3 linked regions of the Tamandua tetradactyla genome follow. The protein of the gene in region 2 interacts with the protein of the main gene of each other region in a pairwise test. Links are inferred from orthologs where the notes say so. Each region holds a gene or a part of one and is shown on either strand. Other genes may lie near its edges.

The links.
Region 1: the proteins of TRIM27 (region 2) and BAG5 interact in binary tests that used the Homo sapiens proteins (3 or more experiments, as listed by UniProt). The two-hybrid records come from large-scale screens. The link is inferred for Tamandua tetradactyla from reciprocal best matches to the Homo sapiens genes TRIM27 and BAG5.
Region 3: the proteins of TRIM27 (region 2) and NEK6 interact in binary tests that used the Homo sapiens proteins (3 or more experiments, as listed by UniProt). The two-hybrid records come from large-scale screens. The link is inferred for Tamandua tetradactyla from reciprocal best matches to the Homo sapiens genes TRIM27 and NEK6.

Annotation. Positions count from the first base shown.
Region 1 is NC_135340.1:89,304,585-89,312,173, forward strand, and holds the start of BAG5 (BAG family molecular chaperone regulator 5), read left to right. Parts: upstream 1-4,562; 5' UTR 4,563-4,683; intron 4,684-4,817; exon of another isoform or gene 4,818-5,137; intron 5,138-6,883; 5' UTR 6,884-6,911; coding exon 6,912-7,589. Other genes in the region: COA8 (cytochrome c oxidase assembly factor 8), read right to left, coding at 4,198-4,320. UniProt on the Homo sapiens protein: Co-chaperone for HSP/HSP70 proteins. It functions as a nucleotide-exchange factor promoting the release of ADP from HSP70, thereby activating HSP70-mediated protein refolding.
Region 2 is NC_135331.1:193,510,813-193,518,721, reverse strand, and holds the start of TRIM27 (zinc finger protein RFP), read right to left. Parts: upstream 3,063-7,909; 5' UTR 3,024-3,062; coding exon 2,604-3,023; intron 1,454-2,603; coding exon 1,358-1,453; intron 1-1,357. UniProt on the Homo sapiens protein: E3 ubiquitin-protein ligase that mediates ubiquitination of various substrates and thereby plays a role in diffent processes including proliferation, innate immunity, apoptosis, immune response or autophagy.
Region 3 is NC_135328.1:46,340,150-46,347,108, reverse strand, and holds the start of NEK6 (serine/threonine-protein kinase Nek6), read right to left. Parts: upstream 3,028-6,959; 5' UTR 2,638-3,027; coding exon 2,628-2,637; intron 1-2,627. UniProt on the Homo sapiens protein: Protein kinase which plays an important role in mitotic cell cycle progression. Required for chromosome segregation at metaphase-anaphase transition, robust mitotic spindle formation and cytokinesis.

The DNA of each region.
Region 1 (7,589 bases), on a different chromosome or scaffold from region 2:
CAAGCTTTTTAAAGGTTCCTCCTGCCCCAGTTTTTGTTTTAGCAACTATTTATTGAAAGCCATTTAAATACTAAAAATATCCATGTTAGACTTGAAAATTCCATGCCCAAAACCTCTCACCAGGTTCTCATTTACCTCAGTTTTAACTTCTTCCTTACGATGTTTATTCTGAATCCATACTTTGGGGTTTGAAGATCATTCTCCTTAATGAAAAAGTAGCAAAATAAAAAAGTTGATATACTTTTTTTTTTTGCATGGGCAGGCACGAGGAATCAAACCCAGGTGTCCGGTATGGCAGGAGGGAACTCGCCCTGTTGAGCCACCGTGGCCTCCCAGATGTTAATACACTTTTAATGCTAAATGTTAATATACAGTCAAAAAATGTTAACTATGCCTAAAAATGTTAATAAAATTCAGGACTACAAGCAAACATTAATGATTCTCATACTTGGCAGCTTATGAGACACACTCTTAAAAATCCTGACATCCAGGCCATACCCTAGGCTCAGTCAAGTCAGAATCACCGGAATGGGCCTCAATATTTATTTTAAAGCCTTCCAGGTTATTTTGGAACTCTGTACTTTATGCATGGTTTTCCTGTAAACCTACAATTTCTTTAAAATAAAGGAAAATGCATTCCAGGTGATTCTAATGCAAGACTAGTTTAGGAACCAATGATAAAAACCACAGCAGCATACATGGTACAAGCAGGCAGGAAGTGACTACTGACACTTAAGAGGTGAGTTTTAATATGGGGTTGGAAGGAAGAACAGTGCCTAACTCTAAATTCTATATTTTTCTCTTAAAACCTGGTGTCCAGAGGTCCCAGATGGGAACACAGGACTCCTTAACTAAAAAAGTGAGGGCAAAGCCAAGAACTAATAAAAAATATGGCTTGCTCCCCCTTCGGGGAATGGTGAGAGTTGGGAGAAATTCAACTTCCCTAAGAGATATTCTCACAAACAGTGTGGACAACCAAAGCTATAGGCTGAGCCCCCAGTCCTTGGGTTTGTTCACATGAAACTTAACCCCACAAAGGATAGGTCAATTCTACTTAAAATTTAGGCCTAAGAGTTACCCCCAAGAGAGCCTCTTTTGTTGCTCAGATGTGGCCCCTCTCTCCAGCCAACATGACAAGCAGTCTCATCACGCTCCCCCTCTCTGCGTGGGACATTACTCCCAGGGGTGTCGACCTTCCTGGCAACGTGGGACAGAGATCCTGGAATGAGCTGAGACTCAGCATCAAAGGACTGAGAAAAACCCTAGAATGAGCTGAGAATTAACATCAAGGGATTGAGAGAAACTTCTCAACCAAAGGGGGAAGAGTGAAATGAGACTAAGTGTCAATGGCTGAGAGATTCCAAACAGAGTCGAGAGGTTATCCTGGAGGTTATTCTTATGCATTAAGTAGATATCACCTTGTTGTTCAAGATGTAGTGGAGCGGCTGGAGGGAACTGCCTGAAAATGTAGAGCTGTGTTCCAGTAGCCATGTTTCTTGATGATGATTGAACAATGATATAGCTTTCACAATGAGACTGTGAATGTGAAAACCTTATGTCTGATGCTCCTTTTAGCTACTATATCAACAGAAGAGTAGAACATATGGAATAAAAATAAAGAATGGGGGAACAAATGTTAAAATAAATTCAGTTTGAAAGAGTGGTAAATGAAAGCGAGGGGTAAAGGGAATGGTATGTATAGTCTTTTTTTTCTCTATTATCATTTTATTTCTTTTTCTGTTGTCTTTTTATTTTTTTTCTAAATCGATGCAAATGTACTAAGAAATGATGAATATGCAACTATGTGATGATATTAAGAATTACTGATTGTATATGTAGAATGGAATGGTATCTAAATGTTTTTGTTTGTTAATTTTTTTTAATTAATAAAAAAAGACATTATTGGGATATAATAAAAATCGGAATATAGACTATAAGCTTTATGTCAATGTTAACTTTCTTGAACTTGACAGCTGTACTCAAGTGGTCAAATAAGTGAATATCCTTGATTTTAGGAAAAGTAAAAAGGCAATTTTCAGTGTTCAAGTTTAAATTATATGACCTACACTCAGGTGTTCCGGAAATGGATTGATAAATAGACAGACAGATAGATGATGATGATGATAGATAGACAGATAGATAGATAGATAGATAGATAGATAGATAGATAGATAGATAGATAGATAAAGGATGATACAACAAATGTAGCAAAATGTTAAAATAGTGGGATGTGGGTATCTAGGAGGAGGGAGGGATATTTTGGGGTATTTTTTATTATTTTTGTAACTGACTTGTAAGTTGGAAAGTATTTCAAAATAGAAAGTCAAAAACAAACAAACAAAAAAATATGGCTGGGGCAGGCCACGGTGGCTCAGCAGGCAAGAACACTTGCCTGGAATGCCAGAGGACCCAGGTTTGATTCCCGGTGCCTGCCCATGTATTAAAAAAAAAAAAAAAAAAAATATGGCTTGCTAGACAGGAAGGATTAAAAGGTAACAACTAGATAAAGAAAACAAGATTCACAACCTGTTACTTTTAACAAGATACATTTAAATTTCTAGACTGAAAGACAGCAATCTCTCTCAGCTGCAGGTATGTCATTACCTGGAGAAACTGCTGTGCTCTCAGGAGCCATACAAAGACGATAACACATAGGAAATACAAATCGCCCTAAGCAAAAACTGTTCTTTTATGTTGCATACAATATCTAGCTAATAGGGAACTCAAGTTCTAAGAAAAACAACACAAGTCACCATGCTAGATTTGGGCAAGACCTGACTCACTGGCCAGCCACTCCACTTTTTATCTGGTCAGCACCATCGTCACAATCGTCACCTTCAGCAGGTTTAGGGAAGCCAGCAGGTGCCCACACAGGGCTTGCTGTAAGTCACTGAGACTACAAAAGGCAGAGAGAGGCCTCACCCTGAGTATCAGACCCAGGGTAAGACTTATCTCACTTGAAGGAAAGGCCTTTATGACAACAGAGAAATCCTGGCTTGTGCGTCCTTCTTCTGTTTTCCAGGACTCCTAGTTCATCAAGCAGCCTAGGTAAGTCCTCGCCATGGGCAAAGTTCTCGGTTGATTTCTAGTTTGCCTTCCGAGAGGATTTTCAAGATACCTGTTTTATCTTTCTGTTCAAGGAAATAAGGTGCTGGGTAAATTTCTGTGTCATAGGATAGAGCCAGGGCTGTGGTCTGGTTAACTACCTGCCAGCGTAAGGCCTTGCCTAAACTGTAAGCCAGGACAGAAGTTCAAAACCGGCATTTATAAAAGTGTGCTAAAAGCCACAGAGCAATAGAAATGAACATTTAAAAGGCACGCACGTTTTGGAATTCTTAACTTTTTTTTCATCCTTTAATTATTGTTCCTATCAAGCTTTCCAGCTCCCCACATTAACCCCTTGCTAAATAATGTGTTAGTATTTGTTTGATTTGTTTAAATATTTTATCTGCAGCCCATTCCACACCATTAGTCAACATTTTCATCTGACAGCTGCAATCAAGGCCTCCGCCTCCTTTAAACCAAATATACTTCACAACAAAAGTGCAATTTATGAAAGCTGCTTGCCTCTCTTGCTATAGACATACTTCGTGGATCTTTGGGCAGTCAAGTGTATATATGCCCATAGAGCTTCCAAATAAGAATAACGATTCAAAGTGAAGCCCTACAAAAGTTGGATGATAAAGCTCGCCATCGCTGGGAAAAAAGCACTAATTATCTTAACGGAGTCAAGGCACGAGAACGAAAAGTTACCCGCTGACCACACCAAGAGCTCTTCAAATATACAATATAAATACCCTCGAGAATAAAACAGGTGCGTCCAAACTTGCTGACTACCTTAGACTAACAAAAGCGCAGTCAGCTTTCCCCCATGGAGGTGGCCGGCATACTCAGATTCATCTAGACCAAGGAGGGGACGCAGGAACTTTCGCAGCTACTGACCTAATCCGGATGGGGGTCCCGGCGCCCCTCGCCCAGGACCTCCCCATTCTCCATGCCCCCGACCCACTCGGTCGCGCGTGCTGCTCTGCACCAGCCCCGGGCCGGCTGGGGGACCCTGCTCCCGAGGGCCTCAGTCCTCTCCGCAGGGGTCCACGCGGGTGTGAGGGGTCGAGGAGCGGGCCTCAGGGCACAGACCGGCTCCTCACCTCTTGCGGTCACCCCTCCCGACCTAACCTCTCCGTGCTCCCCGCTTACTCGGCTCGGCGCCGCATCCCTGCGCTCGGCGCCGCGCTCAAGGGCCGGCTGGCGGCCGGGACCCGCCAAAGTGCGGAACAGAAGAGGAAGGGAAGTCTTCCTCGGGGGCCTTAGGGCCCCCATTGCCCCGCGTACACGGCTCCCGCGGCGCACGACAGCGGCGCGACGGCGAGGAAGCTGCCTTACGGCAGGATCGCAAAGCCGGAGGCGGGGGGCGGAGCGCGGCCGACTGAGCGCTTCCCCGCGGTGTGAGGGGTCGAGTGGACAGCGGGGCTGCGGGGTCGCGCTGCTGGATCCCGGCGGCTCTTCGGTGGCCGGGGTGGCTCCGGGCTGCTGTGCCTGACGGCTGGCGGCGGGGCGCGGCGCGGTGAGGCGCGGGGGCCAGAGGGCGTTTTTCCCGGGCTTGGCGGCGCTCGGCCCGGGGCGGAGCTGCGACAGGGGTGGCGGTGCAGAGGTGCAGAGGTCGCGATGGCGCGGACCGGACGGGTGAGCGTGGCGCAGCCCTGCGGGGACGCGGCGCCGTCTCCCTCGGCCGGGGCGGCGGGCGCGGTCTGCTCTCTGCGCGGGGCTCGCCGCGGGCCGGCCCCAGCTCCCGGAGCCGTACTCCGCGCGGCCTTGCGCACTGGCCGGGCCTCCCGGATGGGCTTCCGGGCTCCGAGCGCCGCTGCCCCCTCTCCGCGCGGGCCCATTGTGAGGTCAGAGCCGGCCGGCCCGTCCTGGGGCCCGGGCCGAGACGCCCGGAGAGGCCGCTGCGGCCAGTAGCTGCCGCCTCCGCCGCCGGCCCCTTCACCGGCTTCCCCTTTCAGACCTAGCGGGGCGGGGTGAGAGGGATGCAGCTTGGGGCCCAGCTCCGGTCCCTCACCCCGTAGAGGGCTGATCTTACACCTCGCCACCTCACCTACGGGAAGCCAAGGCCGCAACCAGCTTAGATCTTTCCTGGGTAAAGTTCGGAGGGGGAAGGGTGAGGAGGGAGGCAGGAACGCAGGCTGCCCTTCGTGGGCGTCGGGAAGGCCTGCGTGGTTCCGACGCCCACACGGAATTGGTTTCAATCGATTATTCTTCAGTGAGCCGTTCGGTAGAAACCCGAGGATACACACAAAAGGGGTTAAGCCATTTTGGACCCTAATGGGAGGCGAGCGAATTCATCGGAGCCGAGTCACGTTTCTGCGGGGTGTTTTTTGTTGTGTTGTTTTCTGTTTGTTTAGGAGGGGCGCGTAGTAGAGCCTGGGGAAGTCCTGATCCGCCAGAGCCCAAGGTTGAGCCTTCACTCTTCCTTTCCCCACGGGATTTTCTTTCTGCTGGGAAGATAGGGTGCGGTTGGATTTGAAAAACCGGGTAGCTTTGGAGAAGTGCATAAAGGGACGGAAAGGAATGTGGAAACGGGCACATTTAGGGTGTTTGAGAATTTCTGGTACTTGTTTCCAGTGGCTCCGTTCCTCTTGGTTAAAGTTACTTTTTCTGGAAATTGATTAGTGTTTGGAAGGCTAGTAAAGCTAGTTTTACTCCCCCATTCTTTATGTTCCGCAGAGATGCCCTGCTGGTGTCCAAAAAATAGCTTCCTAACTTAAGACCTAAAATATTTGTGTTATTTCCAAGCTAATAGTTAGCCCTCACGTCATTCTTTTTTTATTGACAAACCAAAACAACATACAAATACGAACATTCTTAACATACAAACATTCCATATATAGTGTACAATCAATGGCTCACGATATCGTCACACAGTAGTGAATTCATCACCATGATCGTTTTTTAGAACATTTACATCATTCCAGAAAAAGAAATAAAAAGAAAAAATTCATACATACTATACCTCTTACCCCTCCCTCTCATTGACCACTAGTATTTCCATCTACCCAATATATTTTAACCTTTGTTTCCCCTGTTTTTTTCTGTACCCCTTACTGCTACTCCCTTTCATTGATCGCTAGTATTTCAATCTACTCAACTTATTTTAACATTTGTTCCCCATTATTTATTTATTTTTAATTCATATTTTTAACTCATCTGTCCATACCGTAGATAAAAAGAGCATCAGACACAAGGTTTTCACAATCACACAGTCACATTGTGAAAGCTGTATCATTATACGATCATCCTTAAGAAACGTGGCTACTGGAACACAGCTCTACAGTTTCAGGCACTTCCCTCTGGCCTCTCTAATACACATTAAACTAAAAAGGGCCTCTTGACTCTGAAATCTGTCAGCCACTGACACTTTATTTTGTCTTACTTCTCTCTTCCCCCTTTCAGTCCAGAAGGATTTCTCAGTCCCTTGGTGCTGAGTCCCAGCCCATTCTAGGATTTCTGTGCCACACTGCTGGGAAGGTCCACACCCCTGGGAGTCATGTCCCATGTAGAGAGGGGGGAGATGCCATACTTCTCTAGGAGAGCATATGCTGTTCTCTTCCAGCTGAAGAAACTTGAAGCTGACAGAATTCCAGCTCATGCTCTAACTACAGTGATGCTGTTTATGATCTCTGCCATGTGTAGGTTATTTTCAGGAGAAAGAGTTGATGTGTCACCCTTCTTTCTGTACTTGAGTATGTCTGTCTTTGGGATTACAATAATGATAAGCCCTTTTATTCTAAGTATATTTTTAAGTGAAAATTTTAGACTTAATATATGATTGCCATTCTGCAGAGACTTTGTGCTGTAATAAGTTATCATTCTTGTCATCTTTTAGTGCTTGTGAAACTGAAAGCAACAAAAGTATGGATATGGGAAATCAACACCCTTCTATTAGTAGGCTTCAGGAAATCCAAAAGGAAGTGAAAAGTATAGAACAGCAAGTAATTGGCTTCAGTGGTGTGTCAGATGACAAGAATTACAAGAAACTAGAGCGAATTCTAACAAAACAGCTTTTTGAAATAGACTCTGTAGATACCGAAGGAAAAGGAGATATTCAGCAAGCTAGAAAGAGGGCGGCACAGGAGACTGAGCGTCTTCTTAAAGAATTGGAGCAGAATGCAAACCACCCACATCGGGTGGAAATACAGAATATTTTTAAGGAAGCCCAGTCCTTGGTGAAAGAAAAGATTGTGCCATTCTATAGCGGAGGCAACTGTGTAACTGATGAATTCGAAGAAGGCATCCAGGATATCATTTTGAGACTGACACACGTTAAAACTGGAGGAAAGATCTCATTGCGGAAAGCGAGGTATCACACTTTAACCAAAATCTGTGCTGTGCAAGAGATCATTGAAGACTGCATGAAGAAGCAGCCTTCCTTGCCACTTTCAGAAGATGTACATCCGTCAGTTGCCAAAATTAACTCTGTGATGTGTGACGTGAACAAGGCTAGAGGCACTCTGATTGCACTTCTGATGGGCGTGAACAGCAACGAGACCTGCAGGCACTTATCCTGTGTGCTCTCGGGGTTGATTGCCGAT
Region 2 (7,909 bases):
TTAAGTGCTGTCTGACTATTTTTGTGCTACAACGGTAGGCTGGGTGGTCATGACAGAGACTGTACGTCCTGTAAAGCCTAAAGTACTTCCTCTCTGGCCTTTTACAGAAAGTTTGCTGACAGCTGGTTGAAACACCCCTTCTCAGGAGATGTGCTCCCATCCACTCTCCCTCTCAGTCACTCACTGCAACTCGGTGATGCACACACGCCCTCATTTATAAATCCTTTCCACAAGCTCACTCCTCTCCTCAGCTGGAAAGTCATTCAAAGACATAAACTATAAAATATAATCTCAGCAACAGAAAATTAAAATAGACACTAAAGATCAACTCAATGGTGCTTCTTGAAGGAGGGCCCATTGGAACCGTGGTAGGGACAATTCTGCCTGGCACAGGACACCGTCACTCCTTGCCCCCTTCCGAGATGCTGTGACAGCCACAGAAATGCTCACGGGCTTGGGGGGGAGGGCTGGGCACCACTGGCCGTGATTACAAACCATCAGTGGGTCCAGCCTACACGCTCCACAGATCAGCAAACTGAGGCCCTGGCAGGTTATGGCTCTGCCCATGACGCAAGGGGTGGGAGGAGTGCCAGGGGGCAGACCTGGACGCCAAGCCTGTGCTCCACGACCTGCGCCCAGGTACACTGGGCTGCTCATTCCGACAGAGTCCATCCAGGCCCACTGAGAAGGTTCTCCACCCATCAGGCCTATTTTCAAGCCAGGGGAGCTGAGGTCTCAATGCGCGGTGCCAGCACAGCAAGGGGGAAAAATTCCTGCCAACAAACTTAATACTGCAGGAAGATGATGACAAAATTCCTATTGATGGGAGAAGATGACAAAATTATTCACAAGTGGGACTATCCACTACTAGTCCAAGAGTTTACTTTTCAGGTGCAAATATCTCTACTAGGAGGGGATTTGTAATATTTTTATTTATTTTTAAACAAAACAGCAGTTATTTTTTTCCCCTCAATTTTCAAAACAAAACCCACAAATACCCCAATCAGGAACTAGCATATCAGCCACTGGGCAAGCCCTGGGAGCAAGGAGAGAAGGCAACAGAGAGCAAAGCTCAGGGCTGAGGAGCTGTGAAGGCAGCAGCTCAGAGAAAAATCACCCATGTGGCCCTCTGCAGAAGCCAGCAGCTGACACCTACAGCAGGTCAACTCTCCAGACCCTGGCTCCAGAATCTTTTCCCCAAATGCGGGAAAGGATCTGGTTTTCCTTTGGGTGTGCAGGGGAGTTCCCAGCTGCCCTGGGGGTTGTCCTGACCTGCATCTAACAACTCTCAACACCCTGGCGGGGAGAGCAGTGGGCAGCAGAAGCAGTGTCAGCTGCGCGCTGGAGCAGCACTCACCAAGAGTTCCGCTCGCGCCTGCTCCCCTTGTGCCCTCCGCCTCTTCTTCAGGTCTTTCACTCTTTTTAGGTGATCCAGTTGGTTCTGGATTTGTTCCTGAGAAAAGCATGACAGTTGGGCAGTACAAGATGAGGCAGTGCTTTACCTCCGCGCCGCTGCTCTGTCACAGATGGACCCCACACTCCTGGTGCTGGGCCTGCCTTTGGACAACATGGCCACCCTCAGTGCAGGGCGCAGGGGCCAGCGCCACCACGCTGCTCCTTGGTCACTTTGTGTCTCACACAGTGGGTCTCCCCCTGCCTCAAGAACACTGCATGGTCTCTGGAAATGCAGCTAGACTAAGGAGTCAAGGCGTAACTTCCACAGGTGAGAAGGTGCAGCAGGGGTGAATTCACCTTCCCACCTACTCAAGGGTTCTGAGCCCAAGTGAATTAATTTAGGTGAAAACACCATAGACGTTAAGTGACTGATCATGCATGAAGTGACAGACTCACATTTTAAAATGCATAATTGCAAGTGTGTTGCTGCATCCCTCATATGTAGAGAAGACGCCACAGCAGCCTGCAGTCCTTGAATGCTACCTTACCACCGTTTGAAGTGTAACGCTTCGTTTCCTTGTTAAGGTTTAGCTGTGTGAGTCTGTTGGCTCAACAGTTGGCAAAGGCCACCCCCACCCCCACCCCCACCCCCACCCCCACCATTTCACTTAATCTTCATGAAAATTGTGCTGTTATTCTCCACGAGTCTCAGAAATGTTAAATGACCTGCTCGAGCAGTCAGGAGCCGTGTTCCTTTCGGTGGAGAGGAAATGCTGACAGAGCTCGGTGTGTGCGCAGCCAGCCAGCGTCTGCGTGGATTTCGCGGAAATCACCCGGGAGGGCAGGGTGCGCGGGGCGGGGGCCGGGGGCGCGCGGATGCGCGGGCCGGGGGGCGCGGGCGCACGCACACCTGGCACTGCCAGGGTGGGGCCCGCGCGGCTGTCTTTGTGCGGACGGTCTCCCCCAAGCCTTCCATGCAGGCCACGGGGGAAGGGGCGGGCTGGGGGGCCTCTGGCTCCCTCGCAGCCACAGGTTTTCCTCCTAAAGCCGGGCGCGGAGGCTCAGAGCGGACAGGGAGGAAATGACGGCTGGGAAGCACGCGTCCGGCTCGGCCATTTTCTGGGCGGAATGAAAGGGAAGCCCCCGGGCGCCCGCGTCCCTTTGTCCAGCCAGGTCCCGAGCCCCCCGCCGGCGCGCTGGGCGCTCACCTTGAAGCCGTCCACCGCCTCCTCGAGCGGCAGCACGCTGTGGCCGCGGTGCTCGCGCGAGCGGTCGCACACCACGCAGATGGGTGTCTGGTCCTGCTCGCAGTACAGTTTCAGCGGCTCGCGGTGCTTCTCGCACCCGCCCATCTCGCCGCCGGGCCCCGACGGCCGCTCGGAGCGCAACTGCCGCACCAGCTGGGTCACGTTGGCCAGGTGCCGGTTGGGCCGCATGTGCCGCTGCGGGAAGGTCTCCCGGCACTGCGGACACGACACATTGGTCTCGGCGGCGCCCCAGCAGCGCGCGAGGCACGCGCAACAGATGTTGTGGCCGCAGTCGAGCATCATGGGCTCGGCGAAGTACTGCAGGCACACGGGGCAGGTGGTCTCCTGCTGCAGGCACTCGGCCACGCTCCCGGAGGCCATGGCGCGCGCCCGCGGGGGCGCCCGGGCATGGGCCCCGCGCTGAGGGCTGCGCTCCCGCGGGCTGGCGGCGCGGGGGCAGCCGAGGGGCCCCGGACGGGCGGCGCCCGCGCGCTGAGGCCTGGACGGCCGGGCCGCTCCGTGCCGCCGCCCCGCCGAGTGGGCCCCACTGGCCTTGGCGGCGCCGCGCGGGCTCGCGGGGGGGTTGGGGGGACGGAGCGGGCCGGGCGACGCGCGCCGAGCGCGCAGGACAACGTGGCCGCGTCCGAGCGGATCCCGGGCCGCCGAGACCCCGCCCGGCGCCGGCGGAAGGGGCGGCTCGGGGGCGGGGCCTGGCCGCGGCCTGCGGCGGGCGCGCGGCCCCGCCAGCCTCGGTTCCGGCCCGTCGTCCCCCGCCCGGCCCGCCGACTGTTACGGCCCCGCTGCCGCGGAGGCCCGGAGCTGCGGCCCGGGCGGGGCTGGCGCGGCAGGGAGCGGCCCCTGCGCAGGCCCTGGCCCTCTCGGCGCGGCGGCGGCCTGCCCGGCCCGGGGGCTGCCCGCCTTTGTGCCCCTTCGCCGCCCGCGCAGGGACGCCGCCTTTGTGTCGGGGGCGCTGCCTGCGGGCCCCCTTCGGCACGCGACGTGGTGCACCCTGTGGAAACACCCCATTCACATTCGGAGGCCCTTGCGACTTTGTTAGAAAAAAGGAAAGTCTATCGTAAGGTATGTCTGCTAAGAAACAAATTAAGCTGAAAGGCAGTAGAGGCTTTTACTTGGGGTTGCAGTTCAGGGAGCCCAGGATCAAGTTTCCACCCAGATCGTGTCCCGTCTTGGCCTAAGGAAGAGAAGAGAAGGCGAGCTGCACGTGGGGCGTTTGGGGCGCTCTTCCCTGCCTCCCTTGGGGCCTCCCTTAGCCGGCCTTGGGGCTTGTTTGCGGTGCCTGCACGGCCTCGAGTTCGCAGACATTGCTGCTCGTGGCGCTGCGCCTTGGGCAGTTTGTGGGTCTGGGTGAGACCTGCAGAGGGGCAACCTGGCTCCGTTTTCAACGTCTTTACCGCAGGAAGCTTTATTTTGTTTTTTTCTCTCCGGCGAGCATTTCCGAAGGGCAGAGACGAGTCACACAAGCCCAGCTCTCCTTCCCTTCTGTGCCCAAGCAAGTCTGTTTGCCCTTCAGATCCCGAGTTCCCTCTGGTGAGATGGGCATGACGAGTACGCTGGCGAGAGGGGAGACTTCATTATACCTCTTTTTTCTTTTGATAACCGTAGGATATTTATCCACTGAAATAGAGTGGTTGTGTTGAGTAGGGCGGAAAAAGTGTCTGCTCCTTACCAAAGCCCGGGACACGGGGAAGCCTGCGGCAGCCCACCCTGGAGTAGCTCACGGCCCTGGAGTAACTCACGGTTCTGAAGTAGCTCACGGTTCTGAAGTAGCTCACCGCCCTGGAGTAGCTCACCATCCATTCTCTTTCCATCAGCCAGTGGACTTAGAGTTATGTTGTGTTACCCTCTCATCCCTGCCTTGTATTTCCTAATTTTCTTTGGAATTTTCTCAGTATTGGCAGACTGTACATAAGCAAGAGGGGCGTCTGCTTCCCCCTTTGCTTTCCAGGATTCTGCCCTGGCCTCCCCTGGTGGGCAGGAGGTCTGCCGAGCTAAGTGAACTTGCCAAACCCAAGTTCACCCCCCACCCCCAAACCACACTCTGACTACAGAACTCTAGTTCCTGGCCCAAATAACCCCAACCCAATTCCAGAAAAATATGGGGTGCTTGGACTAGCCCACATCACAGAGTCTCAGATTCTGGTCTTTCTTTGAAATTGGGTCAAAAATTGACATTTGGAGGAACTGAAGGATGCTTCTCGGGTTTACTCACAAAGGAGTAATAAACATTGTGACTCAATGTACAAATATGAGAGATGGAGATAAGTAGCTGAGGCTGCCCACCATCTCCTTATCTCAGGGATGCCTCGCTGCTGTTTTTGTTTTCCAGAATTTCCAGTGTAACTCCTTAAAATCCCCAGCAGTGGGTGATGGTGAGAAAAGATGGAATAAAATCCTTGAGGAGCTGGGGTGGGGTCAGAGAAGAGGGAAAGGGAAGAGTTCCACTTGGTAATCCCTGTCAGCTCCATTGTTTCTTGAATGCGCAGAACGCCAGGATGCCTGAAAAGTGGCCACCAGGCCTCGGCCACACCTGAGTCAACTTTGTCTCTTTTAGGACAGTGCAGTTTGGACGTTGGGCCAGGCTCCAAGGAGCCCTGGAAGGTTGGCATGTGCACACACACGTGAAGTGTGTTGGGTGGGGCTAGGGCGGGGCTGGCGAATTCAACTCACTGCTCGGGTCCCTGCCTCGGGCAGGTGAGGACACTTGAGAAAGGGCTGTGCCCCGTCTTCCTGAAAGGCATTCCTAACACATTGAATGTGCTTAAATGCTTAGATGAAGGAACAGTGAACAGTCAAAATAATGAGACTAGCCATTAATTTAATGCTTCCACTATCATACTTTTGGCATACATCTCATCGTTGTGAACGTTATTTGTTCAGTTATGAAGTGACAGGTGCAAACTCAAACGCGCTTTGGAAGTAAGAAGATAACTTAAATGAGCAGGTCAGGTCGGGGACAAAATAGGGAAAGCTGGGGACATTGTCTAAATGGAGGACAGCGGTCCCTGGGAATGTAGCCCTGTCCCTTGCCAGTTACGGCCACCGAGGATGCCGTCCAGCATACTGCTAAATGTTTAGTTTTTTTCCCAAGAGAAAGCAGAAATCTAGACTTTCATGTGAAATTTACAGACTTAAGTGTTTGGCAACTTACTAAAAATTTAAAAATCATGCCTGCAAGGTGAAATTGGCCTCCTGGCCTCCAGTGTGGGGCTTCTGGTACAGCTCTTTATTTAAAAAGTGTTTTTCAATCTTGACACAAAATGAACGGGACAGTTGATGACTATTCAATAGCTAATTTCCACTCCTTCCTTAATTTTTCTTTCTCTGTATAGCCATATGCCCAGTTAAAAGATATTTTTCTCTTACTGCTAGTAACATGGTAAATTCATGAAGTCAATGCTACAGTATAAAATCCTGTGCAGATAATTTGCCAGAGGGCACCGTCAGCTCACCCAGCACTTCCTTCCCGCTTTAACGCCATCCTGAGCCTGTGGGTGACTAGGGGACCTAAGTGGAAGTTGTGTGGGAATTCTGAGAAAGCACCTTAAAAGGAAGCCTACTCAGCTGGGAAGTATGCCTTTTTAATGCCCACTCCCTTCCTACTTCTTCCAGCCTGAAATGTGACATGATGGTAGGAGCTACAATAGCCATTTTGGACCATGAGGCAACCTTGAAGATGGAAGCCAGTGCTGAGATAGTGCAGCACAAGTGGAATGAACTTACATTCTTATTGTCTGTAGAGTGCCTGCATCCAAACTTCATGTGCATAAGACAAAATAAAGCAAAACACTTGCTTGTCTTGTTTAAGCTGCTTATTTAGATATACAATGAAATATACATATACAATGAAAGCTAAACCTGAAAAAATAAAATATTATTTTATTAATAAAATATTTTGTTTAAAAATGAGTATGAAATTCCTACCTGCTATCTCTGCTCAACCTACCCACCCCAAGGGTGTCAGTGATTTCTGTTAGTATTGGCCAAATCCAGGAGACATTTCTCAGGCTTCAGCTTTTCCTTGCTTCATTCTCTGATTGATAAGGAGAGATGGCTGAGGGTGTGGGAGTGGTAAAAAGTAACAATGGTGGAATTTCTCAGGGGAGAATAGGAATCAATTCTGCTTGGGAGGGAGGAGTTGGTGTACCTTAGGTATCTTTTGAATTTTAAACCATATGCATGCATGCCTTAGCTATTCAAAATGAATTAAGTTAGAAAAGTAAGGTAAACAAATGAGCTCTCCAGTATTTGAAGCACTCCTGATTTTTGCTCAGGGAAATAGATATTCTATTTTAAATTTCAAACCTTAAAGTTTAGTATAAAGAAAAGTTTTATTTCCTCAAGGAACTTTAATGGTTTTGATTGAGTAAAGAAATGGCCTTTTTTTTTAAAGAGCGAGACAAAGATTAATATCTTTATAAAGAGTTTTATAAATCAATATGGAAGCTCATTAATATTCCAATATAAAAATGAGCAAAGGATAAATGGACAACTCACAAAAGATAAAATACACTGTTCTACTTTGCTAGCTGCCGGAATGCAACACACCAGAGACAGATTGGCTTTTAATAAAGGGATTTATTTTGTTAGTTCTTCAGAGGAAAGGCAGCTAACTTTCCACTGAGGTTCTTTCTTAGGTGGGAAGGCACAGGATGGTCTCTGCTGGCCTTCTCTCCAGGCCTCCGGGTTCCAACAACTTTCCCCTGGGTGATTCCTTTCGGCATCTCCAAAGGCCTGGGCTGAGAGTGCTGAGATGAGGTATGCTGAGCTGCTTGGGCTGTGCTAGTTGAGCTCTCTCATTTAAGCACCAACCAATTAAATCAAACATTCATTGCAGCAGGCATGCCTTCTAGCGGACTGCAGATGTAATCAGCAACAGATGAGGTTCACATACCATTGGCTCATGTCCACAGCAACAGAACTAGGCACCTTCACCCGGCCAAGTTGACACCTGAACCTAACTACCACATACACCTAGAAAAACTTTTCAGAAGAAGATTTAAGGACATGAGAAAATGAAGTATAATATTAAGTAGAAAAAATAGGATCAAAACTATATATAACATAGTTTCAATTTTGTAAATACACAAATACACTGAAAAAAGGTTGAAAGGAAATATAACAATATTTGAAGTATTTTGGGGTAGAAGATAACGAGTAAATGTTTTTTATTTTCTTTATATTTTTCTGTCTTTTCAAATGGAGAATTTGACTATTTTATGGAAAAAAAGAACAAAACACTGCAGCGT
Region 3 (6,959 bases), on a different chromosome or scaffold from region 2:
TGAACTGAGACACGATGTGTGAAGGGGATGCTTGTTCTCACGTCGGCTCCTGGGGCATCTGGATGGTTCCCGGTTCATTTCCGAGACGCCATCACGTGGCCCGTGAATGGGGGCTTATGACAGAAAGCAGAGGGTGGGGACCAAAAGACCCCATCACAACGGGGCGAGGGTTCAAGCCCTTAGGGTCTGTGCCATGGTTCATTTCTGCATCTCCAGGGGTCTGTGCATAGTAGGTACTCAGTAAATGTGCACCGAGAAATGAATTAATTCATCCGTACCCTGCTGCCCCACACCACAGGCTGGCACAGGGCTGGGCACACATGGGGGATGCGGTGATATTTTCTCTCCTGTTTCATTAAATCCCCAGTGCCTAGAACCGGTCAGGCACTTACGAGGCATTCGGGAAACACTGATGGATGAACAGCGATTGAAGGAATAAACGCGTGACCAGATAAATCGCTTAATTAGCTAAAAAATTAATGAGGGATAATGAGTCCCTGTCTGCTGACCCAAATTACACTGTGTAAGAAACTCCTTCGGAGAAATCAAGTCTCTCCAGTTACCCTTAGCGGGTAGGAAAAGGGTGTTTTCTGGGTAATTACATATCTCGATTGCTAACATTAGCACATCACAGCGACCAAATGTCCCCGAATTTTCAGCACTGCGCAATTTCAAAGATGCCGCCCCACAAGCACTTCATGTTATCAGGAGCTTCTCACACACCAGCGACCGAAGAAGGGTTTCGAACCGCCTCTCCCGCCCCCAAACGGCACCGCAGCACTTTTACAGAGCACTGTCCATCTGGGAGTTTGTAAACCGTGGTCACCATGTGCCTACCCTCTGGATGACTGATAGCTGAAGACACGGGATACCACAAAAGCATGCTCAAATGAAAACTATCTATGGCTTGGAGTCTAAGTATTTTCTGTTCATGTTTCCCCAGGAAGGTGAGTAAGGGACCGCGTTGATTCCTGTGTGTTTCTCCCAGAGGCCAGCACGGAGGCTGGTCCTAAAGTGGTGCTCGGCAGCTTCGTGCTGACGCGCCGTGAAAACTGGGCACGAGTCTTACTCATCAGTGACCCCAGCGCCCAGTCCAGCACTCTCTGAGCCTGTCACCCCTCAGGACAAACCGCAGAATGCTTCCCAAATGCTGCCCTGTCACCATCAGGCTGGCTCTAAGGCGGTCCCCACCCTTGTTACAGTCTCTGCCCAGACAAAAACCCAGTCCTCATTTCCTCTTCGGCTAGCTGAGGAGGAGGTTGGCATTTAAAACAAACACAAAGGCCACTGAAATTCCTGGGGGAAGCAAACAAAGGAAATGCACACACAGACACAGGGCTGGGAATGCCAAGTCCACACTTGTGATTCCGCTGTAACCAAATGCAGCCGGGCTCACCGGACCCATCAAACCCAGGGTGTGGGATCCCTCTCCCCGGCTCCCTGTCTGCCTGCCGTGTGGTGCCCAGTGGTCCCGCCATCTGGACACCCACCCCGGTGGCCCGCCAAGACCATACCAGCTGGAGAACTATTCTCTCTTTCAATCCTGGGATTCCCTGTTTGCTGGACCAGTTCATTTGCCAAACAGAGGTGGCTTGGAAGGATTAGCCCCTTGCCTTCTCAAAGCAATTATACAAAAGATGTATTCTTTAAACAAAAAGCATGCTCCACACAAAAATGCAGCTTTAAGATATGAACCCTGGTACCCATTCCCCAAGCCCCTCCATAGACATTCAGCAGCTACTTCTGCAGAAAAGCAGCAAAGGAAGGAGACCCATATAACTCTGGCATGTGCAAGCCCTTCTGGGTTACGTTTTGGCAACCAAGTTCCTCCTACTTGGAGCAATTTGCAGTTGAGTCCTTTCTCTAGAAACTTCCTCTTCATCGAGGAGGGTCAGTTGGGTGCAACCCAGTTACTCAATGAACAGTAGGAGGAGGGAGGAGGGTGGAGGGGCCGTTGCTGCCAGCAAAGCCTGCTAACTGATTAGTTAACTCCATATAAACATTCTCCAAGGATCCTGCCACTTGCCCACATAAAACTTCCCATTTGCCCAATAAATACTGAGCACCTACTGTATGCCAAGCATGATCTGGGCACATTTCAAGTCCCTGTCCTCAGGAAGCTTACTTTCAGTCTGGGAGGCCAATAACACATATATGATGTCAGGGAAAGGTAAGCGCCATGAAGAAAACTAAAGCCTACCCAGGGAATAGAGAGTGAAGGGACAAGAGGGGCTGACTAATAGGGAGAGGATGACAGCGTCTCTCTGGAGAAGTGATGTTGCAGAGCCTTGCATGAAGTCTAGAAGAAAGTCATGTGAATATCAGGGGAAAAGAATTTCAGAAAAAGGGGATGGTAAGTGCAAAGGTCCTGAGGTGGAGTATGTTTGGTATGTCTGAGGAAAGGAAAGGCAGCTAGAGTTGTTGGCACAGAGTGAGCCAGGGGGAAACTACTGAGAAGTGAAGCTGGAGAAGCAGCAGGGCCCCACCTCTTAAAGACCAAACCTTGCCCAGAGCCTGAGGGCCTCAGCAGCCTCCCCTCCTGCCGATCGCCGGTGTTTTTTGTGGCTGAGCCTCCCTGGCCCTTTCTCAGGCACCAGATAAACAATTGACGCTCCCAGCAATGGTACCTTCCCACATGCTATTCCTTCCGGCCACCTGGGAGGTCCTCTTCCAGGTGTGCGACTGGCCATCCCCTGTGCTAGCTCCTGGCCTAATCGGTCCTTCCGGAGGTCCTTCCAGCCGCTGCCCTCCTCTGCCAGACCCGCACGCTGCAGGTTTCCTCACAGCACTTACGCTGAAGGCAATTAAGCACCACGAACCCTGGACTCTGCATCTGTTTCCTCGTCTATAAATCGGGCATGACAGTTCCTACCCCACAGAACCGCCGGGAGGATGAAGGGCGTGAATCCATGGAAAGGGGTCAGAATAGCACCTGGCACCTGGTACCCACGGAGGAGCTGCTGAAGGGACTAAAGGCTGACGAGGCAGCAGGAGGTTCCTGGCTTCACAGTGTCCCAGGCCTGTCCGCAGCGCAGGGCCCTCGTCCTGAACCCCGTGCCCTGTCCCACACCTCCCCACTCACCCACTCACCCTGCACCCCAGCCCTCTCAGGCCTCCCAGCTTCCAAACGCCCTGCCTGGGACACGCCCGTGCCCTCTCCCTGCCCAGCACACCTCACATCTCCCTCTAGGCTGGCTCAGATGCCCCTCACTCTTGGAAGCCATGCCCCCCCCCCCGTTTCCCCAGAGACGACTGCTGCAAATTGTTCACAAACACCTCCGAGGTGGGCATGACCCAAACTCTGTTCCCACCCAGCAGGGAGAGGCCAAGGCACAGCTTTGCCGGCTCCCGACACAAAGCCAGACCCAAAACGTTGGAACACATTTCATGAATGAATGAATGAACGAACGAACAAACGCGTATGTGATGCGCCACATTCCAGCCAGCACAGGCGTGTCTGGTTAACCAACTGGAGTCCACTCGGCCTGAAGGACCAGCGTGGCAGGACTCCAACCACAAGGCACACAGGCCTTGCCGCCGCCTCTCTCTGGGCCTCAGTATCTCCACGTGTAAACGGAGAGGCTTTCATACTTTTCTTTTTTTAGGCATCAGAACCTTTTCTTAAATTAACTCCTATGCAAAACCTCCTTATGTAAAACAGGTAACAGGAGAAGCACTTGGCCGTATTCGTAGGGGCCTTGCAGGGAAGACTGTGACCCCAGGCCCCATTCTTTTCAGATTTCTCATCGTCAAGTTTGATTTTTAAGGCAAATCATGCCGAACTGTGCCTGAGAATCAAGGGCCACGAGCCTGGGGTCACTCCTGCGTTTTTCCAGACACATTCGCCCGGCGGGGGAGGGGGAGACACTGGATTCTGAGCCCCCCCGGAGCCTCCGGCGCCCTCTCCCCAGTACACCAACCGGGGCGGGGTCTCAGGTGCGATACCCGTCTAAAGAGCCGGGCACAGTTCCAGCAGGGGCTGCCGCAGGAAGGGCGGCCCCTTCCGAAGGCCAAGGATCTCTCTTCTCTTCCTCGGGGAAAACCAGCCGGTTGAGGGAACCCCAAATGACTCAGGAGGGGGCGCAGGGCACACACAGACCCCCTCAGGCCTGGCCGATGGGGGCTCCTGGGGGAAGGGAGTCTCGTGCTCACTTCTGACCAGGAATTGGCTGCCCCGTCGCCCGAGTCTGTGACAGCCGCTGCTGTCAGCACAGACCACGGATGGGGCCAACGCTGTGTAAATAATTAACAAAACACCTGCCTCGCTTAATAAAACACCACGGCTGGCGCAGCTCTCGTGGCCTCCCGAGACTCTCCCAACTCCGAGAGGCGGCACCAAAAACGTCTGAAGGCTCGCTTTCCTCACCACGTGGGGCTGGGAGGGGAGGAAAGCACAATACCTGTTTCCTGAGACACCTCAGGGCCATCCTGACATGTAAATCTTGCCTCTCTCCAACCTGTCTCCTTCCACCCCATTTGGGAGTCATGGGCATAGAAAAGAGCTTCAGCAGCACCCGGCTGGGGGCGGGGCGGGGCGGGCACCAACACCTCCTCTCAGCCCTGGGCAAGGGCACTGCAAACCCTCGGGGCACATTCTTCCTGCCTGTGTGACTCTGGGCAAGTCCTTGGTAATTAAAACCTCCAGGGGTGACCCTCAAGCGCCTCCCAGGTGCCACCCACATGTTGAGCACTTCCTGAGCATTATTTTCATTGCATTCTCCCCCAAGTCTTAGCAGGTCATCATCCCAACCCTGTTTTCCAGATGAGGGGAGTGAGGCCCAGAGAGCTAAAGTGACTTGCTCAGAAATGTCAGGTCTGGAACTCAAAGCTTGTCTTCAAGCTTTGATTGTGGTTGCGAGTCCTCCCCTCTCTGGGCCTCAGTTTCCATTTGGCCGAGAATCTGTCCAACTCCCATAGCCTGTCCATCCCAGTCCGCTGAAATGCCACGGGTCCCTCTCGAGCCCAGTGCTCCTGGAGCATGCTCTCCTCTGCACTGACAGCCTACTGAGTTCCCCGTTGGCAGCAGGCATGATCAGGGCTGAAGAGCCTTTTAAAGTATTATCTACTTGCAGATCACTTCCCAATAATTCCCAGTTTCAAAGACCTTGTGGACAATCAGGGACGAAAGAGGGCAGGCTCTGGGGAAAGGCAGCGTGAACAATCCCAGCCCTGCTGCTCGCCCGCAGGGACGTTATATCTGAGAGACTAACCTCGGCACCTCAGCTACGACTTGGGCACAGGGGAGTTCTTCAATGGATTTCTGTTCCTTGGGGTCGAGCATTGCCCCCCCTTCCTCACAGCACCCCCTGCCCCCCACCCCCAGCCTCAGGGTCCAACAACGAGGGTAAAATGCAGCACTGCAGGCTCCCAGCAGCTACTCCCCTCCCCTCCCTTGTCAGAATTCCTTCACACTCTATGGAATTCTTGCATAAAGCCCTCTTTCTCTTTTTCTATGAGGTCACCATCACGCAGATGTCTAAAAGAAAGAACGGCTCCATGTGAATCAAGACAGTTGGAACCGAATGCATTTCGGATCACGGCCAGTCGCGCCACCTTTCAACTCCAATCACCTCCCCTCATTCACCTCCCATATGGAGTCAGCTCGGGGGGTGAGCCGGGTTTCGTGGGATGCTAGGATCCTACCAGTGGATGCCAAGGAGGCTTGGCTAGAAGTCTGGTGCCTTTGCAACCAGACCACCCGAGAAGGCGCCTGTGGAAAAATCCAGAATTGGAGACAACAGTGCCAGCCTGGAACTAACCTGGGGCCTGTGTATGTGGGTCTGTTTCCATACAAGCAAATCCCATTAGAGAGACAGATGTCAAAATGCTAGATCACATTCCAATTTCAAGTTCCCCTATTTAACGTCACAGGAAATTACACCATCGACTGATCTGCCCCAAAGTCGGCTTCTCTGTCTGGGAGTCAAGCCTGAGATCGCCACTTCTCAGGTTTGGCCAAAGGAAGACACTGAGCGGTGTGGGCGCCACTCAACTCAGATGGCAAGGGGTGAAGTCACTGGCCTAATTTTCTCTTTTTAAGCTAAATTTTCCCAAAAAGCTATCTTGCCACTACCCAAAAGTCGGAAATGAAAAGATAGCCACAAATCAAGGAGCCACTAAGGCCCCCACAGTCTGCCCCTGGTTGGCGGCCAAGTCTAACTACCCACTGCCCGCTCATTTTAAAGCAATTTCACAGACACCCAGGAGGCACCTAGACCACCCCAATGACTGCCTTCTCTCCAAGAAGCACCCTTGCTCCCAGAGCTCTGTGTTCCCACTGCTGCCAGATACGATGGCCTAGGAAAGTTCTGTATGGCATGTGTGCACTACTTCCTAAGAATGATGTCAGCAAAAAAAAAAAAAAAAAAAAAAACCGATAAAAATGTGGAAGCAAGGACTATTTTTACCACCCCAAATCACAGACCAGACGGAAGAGAAATCCATCAATGCCAGAAATGTGGCTGAGCCTTTGCACAAGATCTATTATTTCACACCTTAAATTAACGCATCTCAAAGCAATTTGCAAATGTTCATCAATTTGCAGAACATGCTTGGAAGGGAGAGAAATACCTTTTCCTTTCAACACCAAAGGAAACTTGCAGAGGCACAACACAACCCAAACCACACAGGTGCTCACACACAAACACAAGCATTCCTTTCAAGTTCAGTGAAGTATAAACCGTGATCTAAATGGAAACATGAATAAAAGAGACAGTTATCCGACTGAAATGACAAGTGACAAGAGGCCTATGTAAAAATGATCATGTTTTCAGCTACTCAGATTTGAGCATCAGACCCTTTGGAGAGAACTTTTATCCTCGGGGTCAGAACTCTGGGCCCTTCCTCTGAGCAGTGTTTGCTTTCACCACACACACAAACCTAGAGGAGCCAACCTCTACTTGAGCCCAGATGGCCCATCTGGGGACTCCTCTCTCCACCCTCTAAGGTCTTTGCTTGTC